Linked DNA regions of Drosophila melanogaster. Changing the gene in region 1 together with any one later gene gives a genetic interaction. Each region holds a gene or a part of one and is shown in the gene's direction. Other genes may lie near its edges.

The links.
Region 2: of Scm (region 1) and psq, changing one enhances a phenotype caused by changing the other (phenotypic enhancement), as found in Drosophila melanogaster (one study listed by BioGRID).
Region 3: of Scm (region 1) and gpp, changing one enhances a phenotype caused by changing the other (phenotypic enhancement), as found in Drosophila melanogaster (one study listed by BioGRID).
Region 4: of Scm (region 1) and Abd-B, changing one enhances a phenotype caused by changing the other (phenotypic enhancement), as found in Drosophila melanogaster (one study listed by BioGRID).

Annotation. Positions count from the first base shown.
Region 1 is NT_033777.3:9,632,827-9,639,494, reverse strand, and holds Scm (Sex comb on midleg), read left to right. Parts: upstream 1-1,883; 5' UTR 1,884-2,339; coding exon 2,340-2,885; intron 2,886-2,943; coding exon 2,944-3,861; intron 3,862-3,926; coding exon 3,927-4,958; intron 4,959-5,019; coding exon 5,020-5,157; 3' UTR 5,158-6,136; downstream 6,137-6,668. Other genes in the region: SpdS (spermidine synthase), read right to left, coding at 6,389-6,668. UniProt on the Drosophila melanogaster protein: Polycomb group (PcG) protein. PcG proteins act by forming multiprotein complexes, which are required to maintain the transcriptionally repressive state of homeotic genes throughout development.
Region 2 is NT_033778.4:10,556,064-10,560,895, forward strand, and holds the start of psq (pipsqueak), read left to right. Parts: upstream 1-1,824; 5' UTR 1,825-2,313; exon of another isoform or gene 2,314-2,470; intron 2,471-4,832.
Region 3 is NT_033777.3:6,405,067-6,409,888, forward strand, and holds the start of gpp (grappa), read left to right. Parts: upstream 1-1,790; 5' UTR 1,791-2,025; exon of another isoform or gene 2,026-2,411; 5' UTR 2,412-2,708; intron 2,709-3,911; exon of another isoform or gene 3,912-4,512; intron 4,513-4,822. UniProt on the Drosophila melanogaster protein: Histone methyltransferase. Methylates 'Lys-79' of histone H3. Required for Polycomb Group (PcG) and trithorax Group (trxG) maintenance of expression. Also involved in telomeric silencing but do not in centric heterochromatin.
Region 4 is NT_033777.3:16,928,202-16,935,864, reverse strand, and holds the start of Abd-B (abdominal B), read left to right. Parts: upstream 1-1,622; 5' UTR 1,623-2,833; coding exon 2,834-3,494; intron 3,495-4,251; coding exon 4,252-4,463; intron 4,464-4,547; coding exon 4,548-4,749; intron 4,750-6,012; coding exon 6,013-6,227; intron 6,228-6,284; coding exon 6,285-6,476; coding exon of another isoform or gene 6,477-6,635; 3' UTR 6,636-7,663. UniProt on the Drosophila melanogaster protein: Sequence-specific transcription factor which is part of a developmental regulatory system that provides cells with specific positional identities on the anterior-posterior axis.

The DNA of each region.
Region 1 (6,668 bases):
GTATGCAGAATGTGCATGCGTCGGCTTGTAATTAAGCACGTAGGCAAACGCCTCCATTTCCTGCCCAGCAGGATGCTTTATGGCTGATTGAATTCCGTCAAAATGCCACTCCCGCCAATTTATACGTGCTTTTATGCGAGCTGTAATGCTGTTTTGGTAGTGCGAGGCAATTTTAATTTACTTTTAATTTTTAATAGAGCAACTAGTAAAGTCTAGCTACTTGCCTGATTACTTTTGCTTAGGGATTCAAGAAGGAAAGGATATCCATAAGGGTGTAAGATGCAACCTTGTACTTGGTTCTGTACACCCATTAATGAATATGCTTATTAAGTTCAATCCCCACTCCAGTGCCCACTCGGAGCCAGAAATTTCTTTTGTCCAATTTGCGTAACAAGTCAATGACTCAAGAACTCGTCTCTGGACACCCCTTTTTCTAATAGCCCATCAAGGATTTGACAGGCGACTAAACGGTAAACGGGCATTTAATGAGGAGCAGAAAAGGCAGCCGCCTCATTTCATCCAATTATCCTTGTTATGGGCAGCCGATGGTCCCATCCAATTATGCGCGATTTGACGATTGTGTGAGTGTCAGGGAACTTGGTTTCGGTCAAGTTTAATCATTAATAATTAGGAATGTCTTTATTGATTATTAAAGAGGGACATCACGCCGCCTTCAAAACATTCAATTAACAGTGTTATCAAGTTTTTCGACCGCAATATTTGGCTTCCAGTTGGTTATCTTTGAAACGCGACTAAGTGAGCGGATTATTCTTTGAAGCACATCAATTAAATCAAGTTACGGACCATTTAGGCAAAGCGAACAAAAATCAAACAGCAGCAGAAGTTAGCCAAAAAGTTTGACCAATATACATTTCGGCTAATCCCAGAAAAGTTTTTCCAACTTGTTTCATCTTTGAGCCGCTTTCGACTTACTGAATTTACTGCAAACGAAACACACTTATGTAATTTCTAGTAATTTGCTAGACTTCTTGACATTTGCGACGCTCTTCAGCAAATAAAATTAACGAAAGGTAAGCAAGTAATATTAATTTGCTTGACCTAATAAAGCCTTAGGCCAATCGTATAAGCCATTATTTTGATAGTAACATATTTTTGTATTTCAGTATTGATTGTTTCATGGTTTTGGTAATTACGAAAACCGCTTTCCTATGTTATACATGATTTTATTAAAATATCAAAACTTTCCCTTGTTCAACCCATTTTCCACTATCTGAACCGCTTTATTGCGAATTTCTCCCAGTTCAATGGAAATGTTTACATACCAGAGCGTTCTATAAATTGGTAGATATTAGTTTTGTTGACTAACCCATTTTTTTTTTTTTGATTTTCGGCTGATGTGTGCCGTGCGCTTTCAAATTTACAGACTTTTTATATTATTCACCAATTTACGCCCACTTGATGCTGTGCAAATTTGATTCACGAGCGTTTTGTTAGTTTTACTGGGAAATACTATGAGCTGATATTAAAACGTAGGAATTCGGTTATAAGTTTATATTCTCAAAACCAAAACGGTTCAGTTTACTAGACTAAATAGTTTTTACATTACGCTGTACAATTTTTGACAGGAAATCCAAATTTCTTTTCTATAATAAGGGCTTACGTTTTTAAAAATGACAAATATTTATTTATATTAGCAGTTAAATTAAATACAACATTGTGGTAAAAGTATTGAGCATTATCTACTTTGCTCTTTAAATTGACTATTTATTGTCAGTTATGTGATTTCCCATTTAACGTTATTTTAAAATTGCATTTAGTTGCTTCGATAACATTTTTCGATTAGTCACATTAGTTGATTATTTTCATCGCTTCGTGAGCTGTCACAGGTAAGCAACTATCGATATGCGCAAAGATCTGAATGTCACCACTAGAAAAACAAATATGGCGGAACCGAGCGTAAAAGTAAAAAAAGTCTAACATTTTGGAGTTTAAGCGACTCAAAATCATCTAATTTCGGATTGAAACCGAGTAACAAGATCCGCGCAGCGCTCTAAATATAAAGCTCGATATTTGGTGAACCAGAAACTAATTGTGCGGCTCGCGTTTGTTTTCGTTGGGTGATGCGATGCGATTTGGCCACCAATTTGTTATTACGTGACCTCAAGAACGCCGCAAAATTTCGCCAGGCCAAATCGAAAGAAATCGGAAAGTTAGTGCTGCAAAACAAAACTTGCTATTGGTGGCTAATGATTCAAGGCAGCCGCAATGCGATTTGACCGCCGGATCGGAACACACGAAATCGAAATCGCCTGAGATGCCAAGGGGCTTGCCGGCGCGAATCAGCAAGTGCGACTACTAGGACAGCCACGCGAGAAACCATGTCGGGCGGACGTGATAGCAGTACCAGTAGCGGGAGCAATTCTGCTGCGCCAGGGGCCAGTACGAATGCCACCTCCTCCGCATCCGCATCCGCCTCCTCCACATCCACATCCGCATCCCCTGGAAGTACAACATCGCCCGCGTCCACGCAACGGCAACGAGGTAGACCGGCCAAACGAGCCACATGCACCTGGTGCGGCGAGGGCAAGCTACCGCTGCAGTACGTCCTGCCCACGCAGACCGGCAAGAAGGAGTTCTGCTCGGAAACATGCATTGCCGAGTTCCGCAAGGCGTACAGCAAGGGGGCGTGCACCCAGTGCGACAACGTCATCCGCGATGGGGCGCCCAACAAGGAGTTCTGCTCGATCATGTGCATGAACAAGCACCAGAAGAAGAACTGCTCGACCAGGCACAGCGGCGGATCGGCATCGGGCAAGGGTCTGGCGGAAAGCGAGCGCAAGTTGCTGGCCAGTGGAGCGCCCGCACCAACGGGGCCCTTTCAATACGAGAGCTTCCACGTCTTCGACTGGGATGCCTATCTAGAGGTAAGTCAAGCTGGGATAATGCTTTAACCCCCAATCTCATACTTTTTGTGGTTTCCAGGAAACGGGTAGCGAAGCTGCTCCTGCAAAATGTTTCAAACAGGCTCAGAATCCTCCCAACAATGATTTTAAAATCGGAATGAAGCTGGAGGCTTTGGATCCGCGCAACGTCACTTCCACCTGCATTGCCACCGTGGTCGGAGTGCTTGGCTCCAGACTGCGGCTACGCCTGGATGGAAGTGACTCCCAGAATGACTTTTGGCGGCTGGTCGATTCTACGGAGATCCATGCTATTGGACACTGTGAAAAGAACGGTGGCATGCTGCAGCCGCCTCTGGGATTCCGCATGAACGCATCCAGCTGGCCCGGCTATCTGTGCAAGATCCTCAACAATGCCATGGTGGCGCCAGAAGAGATCTTCCAGCCAGAGCCGCCAGAGCCAGAAGAAAACCTGTTCAAGGTGGGCCAGAAACTCGAGGCTGTCGACAAGAAGAACCCGCAGCTCATCTGCTGTGCAACAGTAGATGCAATCAAGGATGATCAGATCCATGTAACATTCGATGGTTGGCGAGGGGCATTCGACTACTGGTGCAATTACCGATCGCGTGACATTTTTCCCGCCGGCTGGTGCGCTAGAAGTTGTCATCCCATGCAGCCACCGGGCCATAAATCGCGCATGGACTCCAGCTCTAGCAAACAGCGATGCCCTCGACCCCGCTACACTGTTGTAGCTGAGTCCGAGGCTATGGTTCCCGCTTCCCCTGCCACAGCCCACTTCCATCCGAACTGCAAGGGCGGTCCGTTCATCAACAATTCCAAACTGCCCTGCATGGTGACGGGACCCACCTACCAAACGCTGGCCAAGCTTTGCCTGCAGGAGGTTTTAGCTGCCAGCACGGATACGCAACAGCTCTCAAAGTTGCTGTTTGCCCTGGAAGGAGATGTTCATATCGTGACGGCAGCGGGGAAAAATTTCACAGTGAGTTCAAGATCAATTAAATTCAATGAAAAGCATGTTTAAAATATACTCTTCGTTTCTTAAAGGTAAAAATACCATCGCCAATGCGAATGAAGGATGACGAAAGCCTCGCCCAATTCATCGAAACGCTGTGCACTACATGCCGGGCATGTGCGAATCTCATTTCCTTGGTCCACGAGACGGAGGAGTGCAAGAAGTGCGCCAATAGTCGGAAGCGTCAACTGACTCAGTCAGCCACACCGCCTTCCTCGCCAGTGCTCGCCGACAAGCGAAACCGTCAATCCAACTCGGCAACGACATCACCCTCTGAGAAGATTATCAAGCAGGAATTGGCTGTCAAATCGCCAGTGGAGTCCAAGTCGAAAACTTCGACGAACAATGGCAAGGAGCCTGCAAGCCAGCAAAACAGCAATCACAGTCTCAACAATAACAACAACAGTGCCAGCAAGTCCAGCAACAAGGTGGTCATCAAATCGGAGCCCAACGGAGCGAACGCGCAGACTTCCTCCACAACGCAGGCTCTGCGCAAAGTACGCTTCCAACACCACGCAAACACGAATACGAATAGCTCTGCGACAAACGGAAACCAGGATACGAGCCAGACCACGCACGTATCTACCAGCCATTGCAGCAGCTCGTCAACGTCGTCCAGCACGAGCCTAGCCGGAGGATCGGCGAACACCAGCACAATTGGCAAATACCTGGCACCTCTTGTGGCAGAAGTTCATCCAGAGCAGGCCAATGTAAAGCCCTCGAATAGCTACTACAAGAGTCCGACGACGCTCTCGTCAAGCGCCTCGTTGCCGACATCCGTGTCCACGCCGTTCACGGGCTGCCAGTCAGCCTCGTCCACTGCACTGGCTGCAGGTGGAGTTACAGCGGCTAAGGCGGCCACCGCGCCGGCTGGAGCAGCGGCAACTGCGGGAGCTTCTCCGAGCTACACCGCGATTACCTCACCCGTGAGCACGCCCACTTCTGCTTTGGCAAACTCACATCTGCGGTCGCAGCCGATCGACTGGACCATCGAAGAGGTGATCCAGTACATCGAGAGCAACGACAACTCCCTTGCAGTTCATGGTGATCTCTTCCGAAAGCACGTAAGTAGTAGCTATTACCAATTACCTTAAATAAAGTAACTTATCTAATTTTCGTCTGTAGGAAATCGATGGTAAAGCTTTATTATTGCTAAATTCAGAGATGATGATGAAGTACATGGGCCTGAAGCTAGGACCAGCCTTAAAAATCTGCAATTTAGTCAATAAGGTCAATGGTCGTCGAAATAATCTGGCACTCTAAACAGAAAAACATTAAGTTTCAGGCAGCGGACTCGGTTCGGGTTTGACTTATATAGAAATTGTTAACAAATTAGTACCTCCCTTTAACGTAAAGCAAAGCAAACATGAACGATATTCATAGATGTGTTATGTGTTGGCCATTCATGAAGAAAAAACCCCTACCCTATTTTATTATATTGATAATATAAAACACGCTATAACAAATGTAATCGCGAAGACATGAAATTCCCTATACAAAATCAATCGCATAACAAATTATACACAGTCAAGCTCCGGTTTTCAAAACCATTATTATTAATTTTTTTCCAACTGCTCGTGATTCTTTTTTTGGAATACACATTTACAAATTGATTTATTTAGACAAAATTATTATACTTGAATTAGGAATTTTTATAGGTTTATTCAAATTTACCCAGTCAAAGGAGTGGAGTATTCGTACACACACAATAATTAGTTTATCCATCTATTTCGAAAAATGTGAAATAGTTCTCAATTGGACACAAAATGATTCGACTTTTTCGAAAACTGGAGCTCGGCTACCAAAATCGCAATGCACATACATTATATTTATTACACATAAAAACACGCACATTAGACACCAAAATCTATCCGACACAAAAGAAATGATAATTAACTTTAGAATAGGCGAGAAAATAAAAACCAATATTAAATGATTGTACATATTTTACATCTAATTTTGTAATTATGTATCAATTGCGTTTCCTAACTATAACAATATTTAATTAGTCATTAAACAGGTTGAAGATTTAATTTCTATTAAGTTATTGAAATTGAATATCAGTTTTTAGTTAATTATTCACATGCAGTTAAGGTCATTTTTGCATATAAGAAACGCTTCCTTTCAAAGTTTTGCAATATATGCGATATATAAATGAGAGTAACATTCGGTCGTGTAAAATATTGCAATAAGTCTCATTATGTTAACCCAGCATCCACTTACAAATACAAAAATTAAATAGAGCCAACTGTATATATCATTACGTAATAAACATTACAATTTGTTCTATTTTCAACAGTAAAATAACTGAAAGATGGTAGTCGGATTGGAAGGAAAATACTCAGGCTACAAAAATTCGACTAAAAATGAATCATTGCAAGAGTCAGCATTTGTTGAAAATATCCAAGAATTTAAGAAGCGATGATAAACAAGTCATATTATTATCATATTTATTTTTAACAAACAGATACACACGAATCTTTCCGCAACCTGGTCATTCGTAAAAGTGCTTCTGCACCCATCGAGGCAAGGCAAAGGCGGCGGAGTGAACCTCGGAGGAGTAGTACCTTAGGTCTATAGAATCGATTTCGGACTTTCCAAGCTTGGGAGTAGCGAAGTCCTGGTTTTTGTTCAGGGAGCCCATGACGAAGCCAATGTGGCCGCAGGGATAGGACGGAACGGAGGTGACGGCATAGGCCACCTTAGCAAAGTGCTCCTTGCAGCCGGACATGGTCTTCTTGATGTAGTCCAGGTCCAGCCAGAAGCTACCGCCC
Region 2 (4,832 bases), on another chromosome or scaffold:
GATTTAGATTTAGAGTTTGGGCAAAATGAATTCTAAATATTTGAAATTGTATATGGAAGGTATTCTATAATATTTTGGCATAAGTATATATATTTAGATTTGACCGATTAACTCAAATGATTCAGCCTCGTGACACGAAAAGTTCCACCCGCCACTCAATCCGCAGTGCAAGTAACTAAGCAAATGCGATATGTGTGTGCTTAAATGCATATAGCATGTTTATGGGTCTGCCGAATGGGGTTTTTCGAATGGAGTAGGGTGCGTTTGTGGGTTTTGTGGCGGGGGGAAAGGGGGGATGGGTATTTCGGTGGCCTATGTGCGCCTATAATTATAAGGCATATACACTATATACATATGTACATGGGCATAGCATAGCTGCGTGTTTTTCGTCGGGTAAATAGGTGCACACGTCAATTGCTGGAACGACCTCAATGGGTTCCCACTTCCAGGCCCCCCCTTCCACGGCCCACATTCGTTTGATTTTTCCGCACTGGAAAGTGGGAAAACCGGAGCAATTATTTCCCGATCCGATCATGCTACAATTATGTATGTTTAATTTTTTTTTTTTGCTGCTGATGTTGTGTTTCACTATTCACCATTCCATTGCCGTGGAGCTAGAACATGCAATTATTTTAATGTATTCGGCCTTGGGACTCATGAATGTCAATTGGCACGTAAGTTCTCCATTAGCTATTAGCTTTTACCCGCGGCTCCACGCATCCAAATGCAAATCTCTATATGTATATATAGATATGTACCTAAATGTGTACATACAAACTCATATGGTTTACGCTGCAAATCAGTCGTTTTGTATGCTAGCTTCGTTTTTTTTATGGTTTTTTATGGGGGCTAGGCGACTCCCACCCACTCGCACATATTTATACAAATTGAGACAGCGGAAAAAGTGCAACTCATTTGAATGGTTTCGCCTTCATTATGCAAATACGAGCACTGTTGGTGGCGAATATTTATTTGCTCATTATAAATACATAGAGTTTCTGGCATTTTAGCAATCATGACTTGCACGCACACGAGCATTAAACGAGTTTCTAAAATTCAGTGTAATGATCGAGTTTTATGGGACTATTGCATTCGAATTTGAACTGAGTGGGCGCCAACATATCGATAATATATAATGACAGTCGATATTTTCATAGCAACCAGCTTTCGCTGGGCTCGCTGCGCAACTAGGTGGCAGCTCTGAAATGTATATTACATGTAAGAAATCCTTTTACAAACTCAATAAATAATAATAAATGCTTGAAATAAATGTATATTTCAATACTTCTAAAGCATTTTATATATTATGTTTTTATTGGTATTACGGAAAACCTCCAACTTTCAATTTTAAAGCATTATATTTATAAATAAAATAATTCTACAAGCAAAAAAACTCATTTAATCCTGGAAGCACTTATGGATTTCACATTATAAAAGAACTGATTAAATGTATGAAGATACATCATTTTATTAACGTACATTTTGTAATATTTAATTTTTTGAATTTTCAGTTTCTGCGCGCCCATATCAAAGTCCGTAGCAAAAAAATCAATATAGGAAATGCAATAGGTGCAAGCGGGACGACCAGCTGAATCGAGCGGCGAAGCAAAGAAGACCCGATAAGGCGATGCCACCTAGTTAGAAACTAATAAGTAGTTGCATAAATAATACAGTTTTTTACACAATAGAAAATCCAAATGAGTTCTCACTCAATTTTAAAGCAAGTTATCTACTATTTGGAAACACTACCCAAGTAGTTTTCAGCCTTTGAGCACCTTTTGCTACATTTTAGCACCTTGCGGCGATCTGGCAGCGCCACACGAAAATGGCGAACACGAGCACTCCGATGAACGACGAGCTGAAAAAATAATTATTATTTTAAATTCCGTTTTGCCAGCGAAATTCGGTGCGTGCGCGAAAAAGAGTGCGGAAAAGCGCGGTTGAGAAATTTAATCGGCCCATTATGAAGCGGTCAAAGTGCGGCGCCAATGCAAATGGTTAGCCAAATGGCAAGAAATATGTAGCGATAGCGTGCCAGCCCAGTAAAATCAAATAGAATCAAATTTAAGTTTCTTGCTTTGCGAATTATGAAAAACCAATCGCAATGCGTGTGTGTGTGTGTACGTGTGGTGCGTGCGCGCGTGTGTTAGTGAGCGAGCGTAGAAGCAGAAGGCGTAGCGAGAAATAAAAATAAAAAACCATACAATAATTGATTTAAAAAAAAGAAAAGCAAAAAGGCCAACAAACGAAAAACAGCAGAAGCAACAAAAACACACGACAAGCGGCAGCAAAAACAACAACACAAAACTGGCGGTAAATACGCATACAGTACGATACAAAAAAATAAACTAGAAGCAACAACAAATACGCAACGTAACGGGAACTCTTTGACGTATTTCCTCTATTATTATGCAAAAAGGCAGGCGGCAAATTGCAGCAGCAGCGAAAATCAAATATAAATAGCGAAAAGGTAAGGACAGAGGCCCCACAAACTAAACTAAAAATAAGAGCCGAACATATTTGTTGTTTGCAGAGTGCAGTAAAATGGGTGCAAATAAATGGGCAAAAGAAAGAAGCAACAAAATACTGCAAACCTTTCAATTGGCTTCAATTGGCAAATGTAATTGTTCAGCATTACATTTGCATTACACCGCTCACCAACTCTTGCTCCCTCTCACTCTCTCTCTCACTGTGTTCTCCGCTTTTGCGCTCCCTTTGCCCCTTTTACTTTGCAAAGTTTTGCGACGAACAAGAACAATAATAATCAAAACAAAAATGTTTAAAATCCATTTTCTTTCGCCTCTCCTTCACCCACTCACTCATTTCGTAGCGCGCTGTCATTTGTCTTGCGCCTTTGCCTCCCCCCCTCTTCTTCTTCTTCTTCTACTTTACGTTGTCCCCTTCTTCTCTCTCTCCCCGCAACATTGCCGTCTCGCTCGCTCGCATGCACACCATGCACGGGTGAAGAGGAGACGTAACGAAAACGAAGTTGGTTTGCCTGGAATGCCACAGTGGGTACAAAAGGGTTTGATAGTGGTCACAGTCGACACAGTGGGGTGGGTATTTCATTATTCTGCAACAGAAACTCTTGTTATTCTTATTAAGTCAAGCAAAACTAGCAAAAATAAACATTTCTAGCCGGCTAAAAAAAAACTCAAAATCCAATCCAAAATCCAATAAATATTTAGTACAAAGTGCAAGATTGCTAATAAAATAAACCAAAAGTATAGCACTTACTTTTTGTAGGAGATGAAGGTTGTTAAAAGCATTCATATATAATTAATACGAATAAATTTATTTTATTTAAGTTCTAAATTATACGTACTTATCATTTTATATAAAGATTTACATTGCCTTATGCAGTGATGTTACAATCATCAATGTAGATCTTATAAGAATCAATAGGCCGTCCGTAGGTCGGGTAGGGTGTAGAAACATAAAGTGCAGTGAGGAAATATTAAAGGGCAAGAAAAAGTGAAAAAGCAATAGCACAAACATACAAAAAACACGAACACACATTATCCATTTGCCAAATAAACATGCACAAAGTAAGAGAAAGACGGGGAAAATGCAGAAGAAGAGGCTCCAAAAGGCGGCAAATCGCTGCATGTGTGTGTGTGAGCGAGAAGGCAACAATGGGACGAACAATATAAAAAAAAAAAAACGTGGAATTGGTCTAGTAATGTAAGAAGAAGAGCAGTAACAACGCGGACGAACGGACCGCATAATGCGCGTTTAATGATAAGTCTCTCTGTCCGAAACGAAGAGAGAGACATGGAGAGAGCGCGGCTGAGAGGCCCGCCGATTTTCGAGTGGGTGGCAACACCTAGTCTTCCTCTTTCTTTCACACCTTTTCTTGCCGCCGTTTTGTTTTGATTGCGAGTCTTCTGCGAAATGAAATGCAAATACAGTGGAGCAGCCTTAAGCTCGTAAACTTTTACATATACAATAAATGCAAATAATTTAAAATAAAACAAGTTTGGAAAATGCAACTATAAATTTTCTTATTATTTTTCTTAATTTGACTTCGAAATTTGTAAACAAAGATAGATTTCGAATAAATCAAATCAAAAACATCTCTTTGAGTATCCACTGTGGCAACTGTAACTTTGTAATAAAGAAATCCCTTGAAAATCTGACTTATTGTTCGGCATAAAATTGTGGTTGCATTTTAGCCTCCGCATTGGAAGTTGCAAGCAAAAGTTGGCATCTCCTCTCTGTCCGCCTCTTCGTCGCTCCATTGCCTCCCATTTTATTTGCACGGCAAGTTGCCTCCTCGAGCATCCTTTCAGCATTCCTATTATTCTTTTTTATGTTCCTTCCTTTTTTTTTTTGACAATGCCCCAACTAGCAAAAACAACTTGCAGGCACCAATACGTGCCATTGAAAACGAGAAAGGGAATTTAATCCGAAAAACACTGATTTCAGATACTCTAACTGCTACTTGGGGATTTTGTTTGAATGTTAATTAATTTAAAAACTAGTAGTAAATGGAAAAATGTAGTGTAAAAAGAGCGTTTTATTTGAAAATACCATTTATTTTGTTGTAAACATGTGACCATACTATGATACCCTTTTAAAAGGGCATACAAAAATGAAGTTTCACTGAAAACTGGTTTCAGTTTCGGTTTTCTTCCTTCTGGCCTGGCCCAACATTTTACATGAAAATGTGCAAAACAAAACCATTCCGGCGGTGCTAAAAACCACGCGACATGACCAGCACTAAATAAAGTTAAAATAGTAACTATTCGTTGAGCTCATAAGCTTTAAAAAAAAAGGTAACTTATGTTCGAAAATAAAACAAAATAAATTAGCTTGAATGGAATGTTCAT
Region 3 (4,822 bases), 3.2 Mb from region 1:
ATACATATGTACGTACATATATATTGGATTCACTTTTATCTGCTGACCAGCTTTTATTTAAACCCATTTCGGTTCACAACAGATATTAATGCCTTGTGGGGCGAGCCAAAAATGAGGTTCTTGAGGCCCGAAAAAGTTTGGATCAATGTTTTTTCCGCATAAAAAATAAGCAGGCAGGCCAACACACACGCACACACACGTTCGTGGGTCGCAGGTACGTGCGGGCGTGTGGTTGTGAGTGTGTTGGCCTGGTTGAGAGTACACTTAAATAAACAATTCTGAACCAAAAACAATATTCGGCACGCACTCACCTTTGCAACAACAGTTATGAAGGTGCAGCAGCCACCCGCTCTCTCGCTGACCGCTTTGCACGCTCTCTGCCTCGCGCTCTCTTCTCGCTTTTTGGCTGCTGCAGCGCTTGATTTTTATGCACACATCAATTTTCAAACTGCGACGCCCTTTTTTCCGATTTTCTCTCTCACCTATAAAACAACAACTGCCGCACTCAGCACACACACGCACACACTCTGTTAACAACAATTTGGCTCTTCACTTTTTGTGTATTAGATTTTCCTCTTTGATTTTCCTTTCGCTCTGCGCACCTCGTGAAAAATACTGTTACTCGGCTGGACAATCAGCGATACTTGTTGTAAAGCAGCGGACGTCGCTTCTTACATTTAATTGGCTGCCCTTTCGACTTGTCTGCGCTGCCAGTTGCTGCACTTTACTTTTGTTTGACTTGACGCCTCCGTCTGCTCTTCGCCTTCGTCTTCGTTCCGCTTTATCCGACACACGACCAACCGCCGCTAAAAATCAACACAAAGTAAGTGTGGTCGACGCCTTCTTGACGAAGAAAACCAGAGTCCGAAAGTGTCAGCAGCTGGTCACACCGCCAAACGGTCCCGCTGGCTTGGAACCGTGCTGCCAGACCGTTTTCATATTTTCATATTGATATTATAATATTGATATTGATAATATAAATATTTTATTCATAGCAATCAAGCTATCATCCATAGTACACATCAGCTTTATCAGTTCTTTTTTATCTTGGTTTGATATTTTCGATGCATTTTGTTTACAACCTAAACAAATTTTTATTTCCATTGATACCACGGAAATAATTTGAAATTTAGAACTTAAAAATAAAAGGAAAAATAACTTGTAAGTTGGAATAAATAAAGCACGGTCTTTAAAGCAAGAAAGTGTTAAATATATATATTTCAATTTGAGTCTATGATTAACGCTAATTTATGCTTATGGGTCCACTTTCGATCACGAGTTGTTCACACTAATGGATACAATCGCGGAATGGGCACACTGAATATTGTTTAGCGGACAGTGGACCAAAGCCAATTCGAATCAATGGAATATCCTGATATCAGGCATATGTTAAAACTAAGTAACGGAATGGTCAATGCGTAAATTGCTTTCGTATGTGTGTTTATTTTACGCCCTTACGTCGCTAATTTCTGAATTAAATAGCTCAAAAATATTCATATGTATCATGTAAAAATTTAAAAAATCTGCAAATAGATTGCATGTATCCCGTTAAAGATAGTAAGAAGTCCAGAAAAGAGAAATGCATTCAGCGATCAATTTTGCATGGACTTACCAATGTCTTCCACAATTTTATGCTTTTATTTTTTAATCGCTTTGAATTATTTCTCAAGTAACGCAATTTTGAGAAAAATCACACCATTAAATCGTGGTGAACAATCGAATATTCGATTCCATTTTAGCGTTAGGCATTTTTCCGCCACCCGTTAGGGATTCTCCGTTTCCCTTTTGTGTTTTTGTTTCTTTCTTTCGCTGGAACATAACGGACGTGTCGTTGCGTCGTCTTCCTCGTCGCGCGCGTGTGTGTGTGGTGTATGTGTGTACTGAAACATTTTGGGGTCGTAGCAAATCGGAGAAAAATTCTTAATTATACAATACAATACTCGTGCTTGTTCTCGCAGCGAATCGAAGTGATCCAATTGTGAGATTTGGCTGCAAAGGAAGAATACGAAAAGTTAGCTAAATTACGTGAGTAGCCAGAGTGTGAGTGTGTGAGCCAGAGCGAGGCGGCAAATCAGTATGGCGTGAAAGAGCTGCAAAATGTAATTTGCTGTGAATACCTCTGTGTGTTCGTGCCTGTGTTTAGTGTGCATGTGTGCTAAAACAAATGCCTAAATTGCAACAAAGAAAATTGTATGAAATATACGAAGCGAAGAGCAGAGCGAAAGCGACGATGAAAAAGAGGCTGCTGCTTGAAAAATAAGAAGAGGTGGAGGAGCAAGAAGAAGAGCAGCAGCAGCCGTCGCGAGTTTTTTACACGCGTGTGTTAGTGTGCATACAATTGTGTATGAAAAAGAATAAAAGCTAATCTAAAGTGTCAAACGTAATCTTGTATATCTCCGTGTTTCTTGCAGCGCTTGACAACGAAATTTATATTACATAGTAAATGCGAAATACAACAAAGGTTAATCATATTGCTTAATCAGAGTACTGCGGTTTCAAACGTCTTCGTCTTCCCCATCTTCTAAACTGGAATGCAACCAACACCAAACAACCAAAACCCACAACAACAACAACAAGATCGAATGGAGTAAAACAGAAACCAAGAACCTTTAAAGAGAGCAGTGAGAGAGAGGCGTCGGCTAACGGCTAATCAATTGACAAAGCGCAAAGAGAGAGGGAGAAGAAGCAGAGCGCTGAGTGCGCGAAATGTGAGTAATATATTTTAAACCGAACGCGAAATAAGAACTTAAATCAGCGAAGAACTCTTCTGAAAATGTGTAATATTAACGGCGGTGTGTTCACTGGTCCTACTGTTTGCCTCTCCGATAAGAGCGGAAGTGTAATATTATACTCAGACGTTGTGAAAAGTCAAACGTATTTATTTATCGGTTTCCCATGTGCCGGATACTCCGCAATCTGGGCCAGTTAATTATAACGTGTGGGAAGACAGTGGGCGCTCGCCCTTAGACAAGTGTCATATAAGGGCTATAAATTTAAAGTGGATATTTTATAAGCAGTCGTTTGACAACTATGTTTATTTGCTTCAAGCTCACAAGTATTAAACGCAGTGTTTAGAACAGATTTTGCAGATTTTAAACAACGTAAAAATTTTTTTGACACGGTCACAACGTAACTTTGTGTCAAATTAATAAATATAAGATCTTAGTTTGTCAGAATGTTGTAAACATTGTTGTTTTTAAATGATTAAACTGGTTAAAAATGATTTCTCATTTTGTCTACTAATATGATTAGTAACAAGGTTTTCAACTAAAATGCTCATGTACTGACTGAATTATGATGAGAAATGGGTTGCTAATGAATAAACATTGCCATTTAAATAGTCATGCGAGTTCCAACAGGGCTCACTAATTTACCAGTGATTTCTGTGATTTTGGTTACGTCCATAAAAAGTTTTAAATGCTGTCAGTGGTAGCAAACACAATCCAATTAAAGGAACATGCAAGACCCGAAAATAGGAAAAGTGCCAAAAGCTAAGTTAGAGGGGTTTTTTCTTGTTGATTACAGGCAAAAGGATCGAAAACCAAAAACCAATTATTAACAACTAGTTGAACCGGCTAAACATTTGTATTTGTATGCATGTATGTGCATACATATGCATGTAGATTTATGCCTAGAGGGGTTTGGGAAACATGCGTGCCATTTGGCTACTTCGACCATTTATCCTGACCGCAAGTTTTCTGTCAATTAAAAGTTGTTGCAACAGCATCGACTGACTTTTGTCATTCACCTATGTAACTTTTTTTTGCTAACTCAAAAAGCGACCAAATGGGATAATAAACGAAATATGCACTAGTCAAATTCCCAATAAGCTTATCTATTTTCGAAACGATTTCGTCTCTGATTTGACTTGAAAATTTCAACGTTGTCTAAAAATGTTACGAAATAATAGCAATTAAAAACAATATTAATAGTACACGCGTATTTATTCCAAATAGTGTGTATTACAAATCACTGTTACTCTGTTAAGAAGTTACATTTCTCCCTCAGCACCCCAGTTAACTTTAAGAATTGTTTAACTCTTGCATACTTGTGTTTTTACATCTTTTTCGAGTCTCTCGGTTCACTGTACTTCGATTGTTGTTTTGGTTGCCGCTGCTGCATTGAATACACACGCACACATAGTCGCAAGTAAGAAAAACAGGCATCTTTGCTTCCCACTTTATCTCCTGAGTTTGTTGTTGTTTTACTTTGTTGTTGCCATTGCACTTCGCTCTCCACTTCGCCTACTGTTTCTTCCTCGTTTTCTAGCCCGCTTCTTGCTCCTCTTCTTCTTCCTCATGGCAGCTTTTGATGCCTGAATATGTACATATGTGGGTATGTAAAGAAGAGATACCGTTGCCAGCTCATGCTTCTGTGTATTGGTAACGTTTTTTCTGTTTGGGTGCTTTTCTTGTCTTGCTGCTTCCCTCTTATCTTCCGCTTCTCTTCCTGGTTGATTCTTCTTCTTTCATAGATTACGATGTTGCTTTTTGGCGCTGTTTCTATAGTCATCAAAAGAAAACTAATTTTTTGCTATTACAAATCAATTTCGATCGGTAGAAACTAAAAACTAAAAGCCAGCATGTGTTCAGAAAACGAATTAATATTATTTTGAAACCAGAAAACTTACTTTTCACATTGTTCGATTATAAAAATATCCTATGAACAATTTCGGTTGCCTGTGTCACGGCGTACACTCACACTAATGCGAATTGGCTGTGTATCTATGTGAGACAGAAATAGTTGCATTTTGGAGGTCTGCACTTTCATGGCGGAAACTCGAAAGCGAAACAATGCCATAAATACAACAAACACACACACA
Region 4 (7,663 bases), 7.3 Mb from region 1:
GGCGTTAAAATGCTACTAATAATTATAAAATGCTATTGTGCAGAGAGTTTATCCCTTTAAAATAATTCTGCGTGTTAGCAGAGTGGTTCAATAGGAAAAATGTCAATCATACTTTATTTCTATTTATAAATAAAAAAGTTGAATAATAATTTCAATCGAAGAAGTTATTTTTGGAAATAGATTGCGGCAGTTAATTACAAGTTTTGTATTATTATAAGTAGAATTCTTGAAGTTTTTTTGGGGTTTACTTGATCAACTTTGTTATGTAAGCAGTTGGACTCTTCAACTAAATGCGTGATGTGAAAAATTAAAAATGAATGTTCTGATTTCACATAAGAAATAATATTATTCGTCTCCAGTCGCGATGACTTCTGACATTTTCTTAAGCCCCTGCTCAAATGTATTATTGTAATTGCTAAGTATGGATTTTTATGCGATTGTACATACATTTTGTTGTCAAACGGGTTGAGAGTTGTTCTCATCGCATCCTTTTTACGATTTGTTAACATTTCCTTGGCCTCGACTGCGTGCCTTTTGCTTTTCTTCCAATGGCAATTGCCATAAAATTCCCATAATTGTCCATTGCAGCGTAAAATTTGGCAACTGCCTTTGGAAGTGAGACAAGGAGGGGAATCTGTAGAAGAGCCAAAAGGGAGAAAGGATGTTGAGATAGGGGTGAAAAGAGACCCGGGGTTTCCTAACAATTGGGCTGTCATAATTTGCTGACTGAACTGGCGCACGCATGTATTTGTTTAACTAATTAGCATTAATTAGTCACTGCGCTTGACGACTCGTATAATTGGTCGCGATCCATGGTCTTTATGCAGTGAGTTTTTCTGTATGTTGCTGCTGTTGTGGTAATCGATAAAAAGCGCCAACAACAAGCCAACTAACTACACACAATGTGGTGCCATCTACCACGCCTCCCCGCCCCCATTCCATCGAAATCTCGGACATAGATGGCGCTGTGGTGCGCGCGTGTTAAGTATTCAAATCAGCCCCCAGAATCGGGCAGTAAGAGCGGGCGGTGAGTCTGAGAGCGTTTTTTGTTCGTTGAAGAGCGGATGCCTTCACACGTACACTGTGCGTGTGTGTTTCGCCCTCGATGACCCCCTGTGACTTGGAGCACCTGCTGAGCTCAGCGAATTCCAGAGCCAGTCCCAGTCGAAGTGCGATACCATCTTTACCTCATTGAAGGCGCTAGTTGAAACAGTGCTATTTCCCCCAGCAACATCCAAAACTCTCTTCGGCTCCCCCCACTTACACACGCACACTCGCTGACAGTCTGGGATCCACACAGACGCTGTATACAGTGTACGTGTGCATAACGCGCCACAAGAGAGCCGCACCAACTGCCATCAACATAACATCAACCACCACCACCATCAATCTGAGTGCTTGTGCAACATGCGCATGTCCGCGCTCTCTTCCAAGTCACACGGACGGGGAGGCACACACACACACACACACACACACACACACACACACACTGGAGCGGGCTGGCGCCGCTGCGCTTAGAGTTTGTGTTCGTGTGCTGGTTCTGGTTCTGGTCTTGGTCTTGTGTTGTCGGTGTGCCGTGCCAGCGATGTGGATATGTTGTCGCCGTGCGCGTTGCTGCCGTCAGTGTAGATTTGTGCTTCGCTCTGTTCGGTTGGAAGGCGCGCGGGCGTCCAGCAGCAACAACAGCAACTACAACAACAGCCGAGGCAAGCGGCCCTGCAACTTCGTCGAGGACTGGGACTTGAACGATTTCGTACTCGCCGTCCATTCACATTCACATTCGACTGGGAGTGTTTCGTTCGAACGGTTCGAAAAATACAAGTTGAACATTTTCGAAAAATTTAACTGAAAGAAGAAACGTTTTTGGAGTCGTATAAAAAATTAAATCAAAAAACAAAAAACACAATCAAAACATCGTGTCGCCGGCGTTGTGAGGAGAAATAATAACATTTTTGTTAACTGTTGCAAACATTGCCTTTAATTGTTTGTTTTGGTCGTAAAATCAAATTTTATGACCAGCAACATAAAAAGCGAACGCCAGCAGCAGCAACAACAACGACTGCAGGCCCCACAAATAATAAACTATTTATGATAATTATAAAAGAGAGAAGAAAATCAAAAACAAACGCCAACCGAAAAAAAAAGAAAAGTGAAAAGAAAACATTAACTGACAAAGGAAAAATTGGAAAAGTTTTGGAAAATTGGATTGACCGAATGAAAACTGAAAAAAGCCAATTTGAAAATACTGCGTGAGTTGCTGACGACCGCAAGCACCCTGTGAAATTCAAGCTGATTCGATCCCCTGTGCAACAACAAAGTTACTCTCTTCGCCCGCTCTTTAGGCAGTGTGCGTGTGTGAGTAAGTCGGCGTGTGCGTGTGACCGCTGACGGACGTTTGTGTGCGTGTGCGGTACGCAAATAAAAGGGGCAAAACTCGAGTAAAGGTGCTCTGAATATTAAAAATAAAAATTATTAAGTCGCGAAAAAAATATAAAGAGACTTAAACAATTAGAAAGGCGTCACTCAGAGGAGTGAGAAAAAAAAGACAGAGAAAGGTCGGTGGGTCGAGGCGATCGACCCCACTGCACCGCCTTTATCCTCGCCGCCGCAGTTCGAGTGCAACGCGTCCAAGATAACCGTAAATATTCCACCCCTCCCCCAAACCCCAACCATCCCGCTGGCGTGCGCTCTCTACGACCCCCACGATGTCTCGGCAGTCGGGTCGCACGCCGCTGCCGGGGCGTGGTGGGGGCATCACACACACACCCACACCCACGTACCCACCGCCCCGCACCCGCATCCGCATCCCCAGGCGCATCCCTCCCTGCCCGTCATGCAGCAGCACCATCTGCAGCAGCAGCAACAGCAGCAGCAGCAGCAGGAGCAGCAGCATCTGCAGGAGCAGCAGCAGCATCTGCAGCAACTGCATCACCATGCGCACCACCACCTGCCTCAGCCTCTCCACACCACCAGCCATCACCACAGCGCGCATCCCCACCTGCAGCAGCAGCAACAGCAGCAGCAACATGCAGTCGTCGCCTCCTCACCCTCCTCGGTGCTCCAGCAGCAGCAACAGCAGTCAACTCCCACCACACATTCCACGCCCACGCATGCGGTTATGTACGAGGATCCTCCGCCTGTGCCACTTGTCGCCGTACAGCAGCAACACCTCCCCGCTCCGCAGCAGCAGCAGCAACTTCAACAGCAGCAGCAACAGCAGCAACAACAGCTGGCGACAACACCGGTGGCCGGCGCCCTCAGTCCTGCCCAAACACCCACTGGACCCTCCGCCCAACAACAGCAACATCTCACATCGCCCCACCACCAGCAACTGCCGCAGCAACAAACCCCGAACAGTGTCGCCAGCGGCGCCTCCTCGAATCTCCAGCAGCAGCAGCAACAGCAGAATGCTGCAGTTGCTCCTGGCCAGACGCAGATCGTTGCGCCGACCACGGCGAGTGTTTCTCCCTCCAGTGTTAGTTCTCAGAAGGAAGGTGAGGTCCCAGAAATATAACTTTCCTTGGGGTTGAAAACCAGCGGATTTCTTATTGGAACTCCATTGGTTATGGGCTTTCAAAGATCGTTGGGAAATATATTTTTTGAAATTTTCTACATCTGAACTGGAAAACTCTCGAAATAAATTGGGGACGTTAAATTGGGAACGGGGTCGTTCCACTTGTTTTTTTTTCCCCCCAGTTGCAATAACGTTTCAGTTGTGCTGATTGCAGCACGTTTTTCAAGGCTGATAAGGCTTTTCTTTAACTCTCCCAGGAATCGTCACGCATTTAATTTATTTACTCAAAATATTTGCGTCTGTTTTATCATTATAGACTATATAATTGCAGGGTGGTAACAACTTTAATTTTGTAAGGAAATTAAAAATTTTTAAAAATATTGTTTGTGAGTGTACTGAAGTTCTTCAAAACTGCATTGGTTTTTTTTTAAAGAGTTTACACAAAAAAAAAAATTAAACGATGATTTGAAACGTAATCGTTATGGTAACCATTTTATTACCTTAAGTGTTGACACGTGTTAAATATACAGATTTATATATAGACGAGGTGTGAATGCACCCACATCCATGACATCGACAAACAATCTAAGGGTTATAGGCACAAATGCCACGCCAAGTGATAAAATGCCAAATGATCAAGGAGGTCGATTTGATCATAGACAGTCGTTAAAATTAGACTTACCAGCCCTAGTGCCAATATTAACAGCAGCAAATCTGCGCTTATCGTTTACTTTCAGACATCAATATGTCCATACAATTAGCGCCACTGCATATACCCGCCATCCGGGCCGGTCCGGGATTCGAGACGGACACCTCGGCGGCGGTCAAGCGGCACACGGCACACTGGGCCTACAACGACGAGGGATTCAATCAGCATTACGGCTCCGGGTACTACGACCGCAAGCACATGTTCGCCTATCCTTACCCAGAAACGCAGTTTCCGGTTGGTGTAAGTATGGCCACAGCGCCACCCACGCCTCCACATCAGTTGTAAGCAACTTCGTTCCAACCCGACCTCATTTCTCCCCCGCAGCAGTACTGGGGCCCCAACTACCGCCCCGATCAGACCACCTCTGCCGCAGCGGCGGCGGCCTACATGAACGAAGCGGAGCGCCACGTGAGCGCCGCCGCCCGACAGTCCGTCGAGGGCACATCGACGTCCAGCTATGAGCCGCCCACCTACTCCTCGCCAGGCGGCCTGCGCGGCTATCCCAGCGAGAACTACTCCAGCTCAGGTGAGTCCAGACCGGCCAGAGTCGGCACACTTAAGGGTAACGAGGTTAGGCACACTGGAAATAATTTTGAGCATCTTGCAACTCTAGTTTGGGAGGAGAAATTTTAAAGATTAAAAATTAAAAATTTACTGTTTACAATTCTTAAAATTTTTAATAAAATATTTGGTTATTCATATGAAATTAAATTAAAGTGAAAAATTATACGAATTCAAAATTCTGTTTAAAAAGAGGCGTTCAAATTCCACCTAAATGTTTTTAATTGTAAAATATATATTTATAGACCGTCAAATTTTCCAATGAATCGATAATTATTTGGAAGTGTTTTTTATATGGTGCTATTATTTTTTTTCCTAAAAGCCAAGCCAATTATTTAAACAGCCCTAAAATATTAAGCATCCTACAATATAAAGTTCAAGATTATTTGATTTTCCTATGTGCACTAGACTTTTCGTCGTCGTATCGGTTGAAATAGCAAATTGCGAAACCGTCAAGTTTGTCGTTCAATTAGCGTAGTGCAAAACGGCCCATAAATCGATACTCGCTATTTGGCTAGCGTTACGCCTTTATGTGGGTGCGAAAGTCATTGGGGTTTGCATTCTATGGGGTTGCCTGTTTATGTTCGTGTCTTATCACCAGGTGTTTTTCAACTGCCAGAATTGTATCTGTCGACTAGTCATATTTTCCCAGTAGTATCCATGGTATCCATAGTAAAGACTCGTTATTATGGCGGAATATGTCAGTTAAGTGACCTCGCCAGCCAATTTTACAATTGGAATTCAGGTCTCTTAGGCTCGATAATTAATTTCCAATCTGACCTAACTGTCCTAACTGTTCAATGCTACCAAGACTAATCGAAGAAATCAGATTAGATTCGAAAAGCTCTTCACTCGTGCTGAACTAGCGTTTAAATTAAAATAAATCCAACTTGTCACTTTATTTCAACATTAATTTAATTGCTTCATTTGGTCGGCCAATGAGCGGGAACGAATGTATTCATTTAGTGTTATCCACTCGAGTGTGAATATGGGCCTCATGCCAATTCGGAGCTCCGCTCCCCGTACCGCACCAATTAAGAGGCCATAAATGAGGAATTGAATAATTTCGTATTACGCTTATTGCTAAACAATTTCCGTAATTGCTCTATAAACTTAACGATCTGATATTGCACCGAACACCGAGCAACAAAACCATCGGACCACCCGCACTTGCGGTTTAATGAAGTTAACCATGTAGTTTAACCCCATTACTTGATGATGTTTTCAGGAGCCTCTGGTGGATTATCCGTGGGAGCAGTGGGTCCTTGCACGCCCAATCCCGGACTGCACGAGTGGACCGGTCAGGTGTCCGTCCGGAAAAAGCGCAAGCCGTACTCGAAGTTCCAGACCCTGGAGCTGGAGAAGGAGTTTCTTTTCAATGCGTATGTTTCCAAGCAAAAGCGCTGGGAATTGGCCAGAAATTTGCAGCTGACCGAGCGACAGGTGAGTCCATAAACCTACTGACTTGAACTGAATTCATTAAACAGGCGTTCCTTTCAGGTCAAGATATGGTTCCAGAATCGGCGCATGAAGAACAAGAAGAACTCACAGCGCCAGGCCAATCAGCAGAACAACAACAACAATTCGAGCAGCAACCACAACCACGCGCAGGCGACCCAGCAGCACCACAGCGGCCACCACCTGAACCTTAGCCTGAACATGGGTCACCATGCCGCCAAGATGCACCAGTGACCCTTGGACAACAGCAGCGCTGGCGCCATGGGCTTTGCCACCTACTAGCAGTTAGCCAATCCGAGTTCGGGTAACCCCAGCTCGAATCCCAACCCCATGTCCGATCCGAATCACCATCATCTAATCAAGAACGAGCTGGCCATGGACTTTCCATGCTAGTCCAGCGATTGGAAGGGCGATTCCAGCCAGGCCGAGTTCAGTCGGTTAAATGTACAAAAACCAGAGATCTCTAGCATGCGGGATAGGAATATGTGACCACAATGAGGAGCAAGGATGTGGATGAGCAACTGCCCAGAAGTGCGCAGGCGTCGCTGATGTGTGACCAACCGACGTTGATGCAAATGCAGTTTATTATTAAGTCAGTTCTACGGATCCCAGAGATCCAAGCCCCAACACGATAATGCAGCTTAGTTCGGTAGTTGAATATAGATACGAGTAAGATGAAGAGTAAGCAGCAGCAGTAGCAGATGCACTTGAAATTCGCAACTGTACGAAAATATATGTATGTACGTATTTCTCTCAACGCTCTCATTAGCCTAGGCGAGCACTATGAATTTTCCGAACTATAAATTATGAATATGAATATACTTAAACGTCAGTGAATATAACCCCGCATAAATTATGAATACACGCGTTCGAGTAGTAGATTTTACCATACCTATCCAATTAAGAGCGGCCACAAGGCGGCTGAGTTAGGCTGAGCAGCAGAACACATTTTAGACCCAGATAAATGTTCTTGAAACACAAATTGAAATTGTTTAACAATTTTCGGACCCCTCACAGCTCCGCAAACAAGAAGACACACTCCGCAGTCTAGGATAAATTTTGTCGTATAATGTTCGTCGTGTCGTGTCCTTTGATACCTTCTAAGTTCCTGTATATAAACTAAGACATTGCGCTGATTTCCGGCCGAAGCGAGCACTCGATAACTAAATTACATCAGATATATGTATATGTATATTGCGTACACGCAGAGATATTCAATATTTGTATAATATGAACTCGGATTCGATTTTAGCAAATGGTTAATTGTAAGTTGCAAAAATTTCAATGAGTGTGTGCATGTTTACCCCATAGTTGAAGTCGCTTTCGAATTAAATTAACTCTTAAACCAAGGAAAACACTTAACAAAACTACTCGTAAAGCTAAAGCAACAAAAACTTAAAAGATACACACTTAACAGAAGT